Caenorhabditis elegans: one gene and its partner. The protein of the gene in region 1 interacts with the protein of each later gene in a pairwise test. Each region holds a gene or a part of one and is shown on either strand. Other genes may lie near its edges.

Evidence for each region.
Region 2: the proteins of txdc-12.1 (region 1) and dhs-14 interact in a two-hybrid assay, tested with the Caenorhabditis elegans proteins (one large-scale study listed by BioGRID).

The regions. Positions count from the first base shown.
Region 1 is NC_003280.10:12,238,521-12,242,447, forward strand, and holds txdc-12.1 (Thioredoxin domain-containing protein), read left to right. Parts: upstream 1-1,867; coding exon 1,868-2,075; intron 2,076-3,099; coding exon 3,100-3,452; 3' UTR 3,453-3,565; downstream 3,566-3,927.
Region 2 is NC_003283.11:2,763,339-2,767,254, forward strand, and holds dhs-14 (DeHydrogenases, Short chain), read right to left. Parts: upstream 1,863-3,916; 5' UTR 1,857-1,862; coding exon 1,820-1,856; intron 1,770-1,819; coding exon 1,342-1,769; intron 1,296-1,341; coding exon 1,125-1,295; intron 885-1,124; coding exon 681-884; 3' UTR 643-680; downstream 1-642. Other genes in the region: cror-2 (DeHydrogenases, Short chain), read right to left, coding at 2,933-3,139, 3,183-3,353, 3,656-3,916.

The DNA of each region.
Region 1 (3,927 bases):
GCACACTTTTCTTAGTCACAGCCGCTGGATTTTAGTCTTTCTGAAATTATCACCATTTAATCCTTATTTTGATAATTTATCCTGCGGAATTTTGTTGATTGAGACAACTTTTAGACCAATAGGCATCCAAAAATGATCAAAATTGGATGCCTATCGGCCTAAAAGTTGTCTCAATCAACGAATGAGATAAATTACCAAAACAAGGATTAAAAGGTGATAATTTCAGAAAAACCAAAGTTCAGTGGCTGTGACTAAGAAAAGTGTGCAAAATTTCAGATTTTATCAAAATTTGACTCTTTTTTTTTCGAAATTTTGACCGGCTATAAAAAATTTTTGGAAATTTTTTGTGAAGTCTCATTATGAAATTCGGTGGTTTTGGACCAGTTTTAGTCTATTTAAGCAAAATACTTACAAACTCTACTCCCCCTTTAATATATTTCACGACATACATACGTGAATAACTTCTTTAGTGTTGCTCTTTAATTATGTAGTATACTTAAATGCATTTTATTAAAAATCGTCAGTATTTAACAGTATTGAATTGTTCATACTAATAAAATCAGACAATGTTTGACGCAAATAAAATGAAGCAATACATGTTTTTTACTTTGTCAATTAGTTAGTTAGTTATGAACATTGTAACTATACAGTTTACAAGCAAACGGGTTAATTTTTCGTGAAAGTAATTATTTTCAATAACGTTATTAAAATTATATATTACTAACTTTTATATGGGAATCATCCTAACCAAGAAAACTGTTTAAAAAATTGTAAAAACCCTAATTATAATTCATAAAGTTATTAAAATATACATCGATCGAAATATAGTAACCACCACCATTTCTAGAATGCATTACCAAAAATTATGTGCAAAATAGTAATGTTTTATGAGACTTCCAACAAAAAAAAATTGAATCACCGAATCATGTTTTTGCTACAAAACATTGTAGTTGCTTTTTGAATTTTTCGTTCTGCTTCATATTTTTTTCCAGACATCATTGATATAACCCTTTTTATCTGCAAAAACTCATCAAAGCACCTTCTTTATGGTTTCTGATCACCCCTCCATAGATACACCGAGATCCTTATCATCGGTACGACCTCGACCGTTGGCTAGTTTTTTGCAGTTCGATAATGACCTCAATATCTTGATCTGTTTCTTCTTTTCTCCATCATTCGTCATACCTTTCACTTTTAGAGGTGGTTTTTTATACAGCTTTTCTAATACAAAGGATAGTGATATTAAAAAATTCTAGTTTTAGATTATTAACAACGGGATTGCATAGAAAAAGTTTCTTTTTCGACATTTTTTCGTAAAACGGGCATTAAATGAATAACACAACAATTATATAGTTCTGTTATAAAACAACAAGTAGTATGTTTTATAACAGAACTTTATAATCGTTGTGTTTTTATAACAGCAATGGCTTTTAAACGCTGGAAAAAAAAGGTCACAACAGTTCATTTTCAAGCTTAGTCTTAGTCTTAGTCTTAGGCTTAGGCTTAGCCTTAGCCTTAGTTTTAGGCCCGGGTTCAGGCTTAGCCTTAGGCTTAGGCTTTGGCTTAGTCTTAGGCTTAGTCTTAGGATTAGTCTTAGGCTTAGGCTTAGGCATAGGTGGGGCTGGGGGATTATTTTAATTTTTTTTTTTGAAAATTATCAGAAATTTTTTACATTCAATTAAACAAATTGTAGTGAATATTTTGAGTTGTGTAAAAATGATATTTTTCACAACAGTAATAATATTTAAATTATACATATAAACCACATTAATAACGTTTTTTTTAAGTATCTGATCACTTTTTTTTGCATGCTAAACTTATATTTTCTGTTTAGTATAAAACTCCATCCAATTCCCCGTTGTTCCAGATGAGATCCCTTCTCCTCTTGGCACTTGTGAGTGCGTCGGCGTACGCGAGTTTCGACAAGATCAAGGATTCTATTCAAAACCCATTGGCACGTGGATTTGGTGACGATATTGCGTGGGTCAAGTGGGAAGATGCAATTGAGACTGCTTTGGATACTGATAAGCCAATCTTCTTGTTGATCCACAAGTCTTGGTGCCATGCTTGCAAAGGTAAGAGCGGCAGTTGAGAAAATTTAGGCAATTTCTTATAATACGTGTGGTATCACACTGTCCCATCACGGTTTGATCTACAAAAAATGCGGGAATTTTTTGCTCTAAAAATGCGACGTCAGCAGGTTCTTAATCATGCGAAATCATTTGAGAACTCTGCGACTCTTCTCCCGCATTTTTTGTAGATCTAGGTAGATCAAGCCGAAGTGAGACACCCTGACACCGCGTGATTGATTACATGCTTCACTAATAATTTGAAATTTAATCATTTTATTCAACAAGTTAGTCCAATAGAGCGCACATTCACATGTCCCTTCCCCACTGCAGCTTCGATTTTCTCTCCGGGTAACCGACCAAAGACAAGAAAGGAGAGGGATTTATTCATCCTTGACACACTTTTTTTTATTAATTCAAAGAATGGTGTCAGAACACCTTGTAAACCACAAAGCTTGTACATATAGTTTTCAAGGGAAAAATCGGGAAATTCAATTGATATTTTTCGAAAATTGCAAAAAAAAACGTGCAAAATTTTGAATTAAGAAAAATGCACATTTGTACAAATTTTGGGAAATTCAAAAATTTTCACGTGATGGGACCCGTGTGTGGGCGAACCACAGTTTAAATTTGATGTAAAATAATATTTATAATTTTTATGACTCAACATTTGAAACTTTAAACATAATTGTATTCGTTTAAAAATTTGTGAAAAAATTGAAAATTGGTTTTAAAAAATTTGAAGTTTAAATATTTCAAGTCCAGAAAATCCAATGCGAGAAAAAACCTCAAAATTTTTTTAAAAATTCCAAAAATTATATAAAAAATTATTTTAAAGCTTTCAAAAATTCAATAAAAATTCCAAACAAATTCCACTAATCTGAAAAAAGGATAAAATCTATTGGGGTCCTAAGCCTAAGTTTGAGCCTAAGTCTAAGTGTAAGGCTACGACTAAGCCTAAGCCCAAGCTGTAGCTTACGTCTAAGCCTAATTTTTAAATGTTTCAATTTCGAATTTTCAAATTTTCCAGCTCTCAAGAAGACCTTCCAACAATCCAACGCCAAGAAAGCCTTCAAAAAGCTCTCAGAGCACTTTGTAATGGTTAACACCGAAGACGACGACGAGCCATTCGAGGAGGAGTACCGTCCAGACGGAAAGTACATTCCACGTCTGCTTTTCCTCGACAAAAATGGAGATCTTCTTCAAGAATTCAAAAATAAGAAGGCCGAATACAAAAATTACGCGTATTACTACTCATCACCAGCTGATATCCTTAACTCTATGAAGGATGTGCTTAAACATTTTGGAGTTGACATTCCAGAGGCTAAGAGAGGTGATAAGCTTAAGCCAAAGAAGCCAGAGGGAAAGAAGAAGGAATTGTAAGAATAGAGATTGTTTTATTGATTTATTGATTGATTTTCAGCTAATTTATTTCTTATCATTTCTTTGCCAATCTTGTTAACTATTATTAATTATTATCACGAATAAACTGGTTCTCGATACGTCGGTTTTTACGAAAAATTTAAATTCGCGCCAAAAACCTTTTCGAAACCTCGAAAAAATTTTAAAAATCTTATGAAAATTGCATTTTGTGCCTGAAAATTTTTAGCCAATTTTTTAGAAAAAAAAAAAGTTTTAGGAAAATCTGTGACATTTTGAAAAATTCAGGAAAGTTTGAAATTCCAGCCAAAAAACTTTTGAAAACTAATTTTTTGAAAAAACTAATTTTTTGAAATTTTTGAATTTTGCATTCATTTGAAATTGACTTAGGCATAGGCTTAGGTCTAGGCTTAGGCTTAGTCTCAGGCTTAGGCTCAGGCCTACGCTTAGACGTAGGCTTAGGCTTTGGTTTAGGCTC
Region 2 (3,916 bases), on another chromosome or scaffold:
ATGACACAAATAATTGTTCCAGCACAGTGAAAAAGAGTGTATTTTCCATTGGAAATTGTGAAGTTGTTCAATGAGAATAGATATGTTTTTTTTTGAAAAATTGTTTTTCATTCTACAGGAAAACTGAAGAAAAATAGATAAGAATTTCAAAAACAGAGTGAAATATTTCGAGCTAGATTTTTGTCTAACCGAAAAGTTCTCATATTTCAAGATTTTTTTCAGGTTCAAAACTCCAATTTCTCGCTGGAGAGTCTCAATTTTTATCCACCCCCAGCCCCGCCTAAGCCTAAGGATAAGCCTATAATATATATACCGCCTAAGCGTAATAATTAAAATTTATATATTTTTTTCAGATTCAGTGGCATCCAATAAAGCATGTTTTTAAAAATGGATCTGTCAATAGTAATTTATACCAGAAAATGTTAAACAAAGTAGGCTACCTTGTACGGAAGGTTGTTAGAGAAAATTGCAGTATTTGACCAAAAGCTATTTTTTCCAAAACTGAAAAAATACGGGAAAATCATAGGAATTATTTTTATTTTTTAATTTCACTTCAGGTTTTACTCTAGGCTCATGTTTGTGGATTATATCCGTCAAAGTTAACTCAAACGGAAATTTTTTTAGTTGCCTGTTAAAAACTTTAATAAAACAATTTACTTTTAAAAAAATGTATACAAAAATTATTGTTTCAAAAGATCCATAAAATTGTGTGCCTGCATTCCCATTACCAAAGTCGAACCTCCATCTGCCACAATCGACTGTCCAATAATGTATGAAGAGAGTTTTCGATCAGCCAAGAACGCAATTATATTGGCAATGTCGATGGGTTGCCCCATTTTTCCGCAAGGAATACATTCTTTGCGAGATTCCATGAAATGTCCATACTGAAAAATGGAAAATTGAATAATTTTAAGAGCTTGTAAAACCTACCCTGGGCTTCACCTACCTACCTTCCTGCTTAAAAAGATTTAAAAAGATTTAAAAAGATTGTTCAAAATATTTTTGAACAAGTGGTAAAAAATCAGATTTTCCTACAACTAAATTTTGGTAAAATGACGTGTCAAGGATTTGTATTTTAAGTAGGCAGATCTGCAAAAGTGCCTGCCTACTATGAGGCTTCTCACCTTCTCATGCATATCAGCAGGCATTCCCATTGCTTCTCCGAAACCTGTCACTACAGCTCCAGGGCTCACCGAGTTGACTCTAACCCCGTACTGAATAAGATCGATGGCAGCACTTCTGGTATATTGATCCAATGCGGCTTTTGACATTGCATAATACATGAAAGTTGGTTGCTAAAATACAGAAGTGGGTAAAAAAGTGAAGAGAAAAGGAACTAACAGCCTGTGGTCCTGCTCCGATGCTCGAAACATTTACAACTTCTCCCTTAGCCTTAACCAAATGCTCCTTGGCTTTTTGAGTCAAAGTAACCACACTTCTCATGTTAATTTGCATAATTCTATCGTAAACTGAGACATCTTGATCAACTCCAACACGTCCTTGATCGTCATTAAAAGCCGCTCCGGCATTGTTGACTAGAATATCAAGGCGCCCGAATTTTTGAATTGTAGAGTTAACTAGTTCATCTTGACCTTTTTCAGTCGCCAAATCAGTTGCAATCGACAAAACATGATCTTCCGGAACTCCTGACTTCAAAATTTCCTGTCTAGTTTCTTCAAGCCTATCAGCATTTCTTCCAGTAATCGTAACTTTTGCTCCTTCCTGAGCCAGAAGTACAGCAGTGGCTCTACCTATTCCGTTTGAGGAGCCTTCAATGATTCATTATAAAAATGAAGAAAAATAAATTTGAAAAAAATACCTGTCACAAGAGCAACTTTGCCAGAGAATCGAGTCATAGCAGTAGTGTAGAAATTAAATATTGATACTGATAATCAATGCTTTTATTGCGTGATTTTTTTGTTGAAATGTGGTCTGTGATGTGCTTTAAGCAAACTGTGGCAGCTTATATTGATAAGAAAATAAAAATATTATGTCAATAAATAATGACTAGACTTTTGATACCACAAAAATGGAAATTCCTTTTTTGGTGGTTCGAACCAATTTTTTGACCGATGTTATTCTGCACGATTACATTACATGCCCGATGTAGCCCTCTACCGCTCGGCTTACCGATTTTAAAGAAATTTAAATTTCCGGCAATTTTCCGATTCGCCGATTTGCCAGAAATTTTAATTTCCGGCAATTTTTCGATTTGCCGGTTTGCCGGAAATTTTGACTATTGGTAAAATGCCGATTTACCGTTTTTAGAGGGATTTTTTATAAGACGGAAACACTTAAAACTGTGCCTTTTTAAATTTTTTTCCCCGTTTTCTTTAGAAATTTTCATAGAATTTGCTTAATTTTTAAATTGTATGTAGGAACATTCACAGGATATTGCCGATTGAAATTGAAATTCTAAAATTTCAAAAAAAAATTTGCAAAACCACAATTTGCCGACAATTTTTAGCAATTGCCGTTTCCCGGCGAATTCAGCAAATCGAATATTTTCCGGTTTGCCGATTTTCCGAATATTTTAAATTCCGGCAATTTATCGATTTGCTGATTTGTCAGAAATTTAAATTCCGGCAGTTTGACGATTTGCCTGATTGCCGGAAGTTTATATTCCGGCAATTTGCCGGTTTGCCATTTTTCCGGATATTTTCAATTCCGGCAATTTGAATATTTGCCGGAAATTTCAATTCCGGCAGCTTGACGACTTGCCTGATTGCCGGAAGTTTTAATTCCCGCAGTGTGCCGTTTCACCGAAAATTTCAATTCTGACAATTTGAATTTTTGCCGGAATATCAATTCTCCCAATTTACCAATTTACCGATTTGCCAATTTGCCGGAAAACATAGCTTGCCGTCCATCCCTGTTTTGTACAACAAAATCACTAGTTCCAATATTTATTCACCACTAAATCCAACAAAATTTAAGATTGCTTCATAAGATCCGCCCAGTTGTGAGCATTCATTCCCAAGACCAGTGTAGATCCTCCATCAGCTACTATCGACTGCCCAATAATATAGGAAGAAAGCTTACGATCAGCCAAGAACGCAATAATATTGGCAATATCGATTGGTTTAGCTACAGCTCCAGAAGGGATGCACTCCTTGCGGGACTCCATAAACTTCATCATCTGAAAACTCGAAAAATTCTAGGAATTTGTGTCTTATGTTCACCTCCTCAAACGCCCCACTCGGCATACCCATAGCTTCTCCAAACCCGGTAGTGACACCTCCCGGGCTCACCGAGTTCACGCGTACCCCGTACTGAATAAGATCGATGGCTGCACACCTGGTGAATTGATCGAGAGCCGACTTTGACATTGCGTAGTACATAACTCCGGGTTGCTGGAAACATGCAAATTTTAATACTCATATTTGGGGACGGGAATCCAGGCTACCAGCAGGGCTGAGCAACAGGCCGAAAAATTACAGAAATCGCCGATCGCCGATCGCCGATTGCCGCTCACTCCTACTAGGCTACCAGGCAATAATTCGATTTGCAAAACTGATTTTCGATTGATCAAACTACTCTAAAATTAAGTCAGCGGCGAGTAATAAAATTCCCCGAAATCTAATTTTTCCTAGATCATTAAGTCTTACCAGAGCAAAAACTACCGGAGGTCATAATATGCTTTAACCTAGCTTACCGCATGAGCTGTTCCAGCTATACTCGAGACATTGACAATTTCTCCCTTAGCCTTAACCAAATGCTCCTTGGCTTTTTGAGTCAAAGTAACCACACTTCTCATGTTAATCTGCATAATTTTATCGTAAACTGAGACATCTTGATCAACTCCAACACGTCCTTGATCGTCGTTGAAAGCTGCTCCGGCATTGTTGACCAGAATATCAAGGCGCCCGAATTTTTGAATTGTAGAATTAACTAGTTCATCTTGACCTTTTTCAGC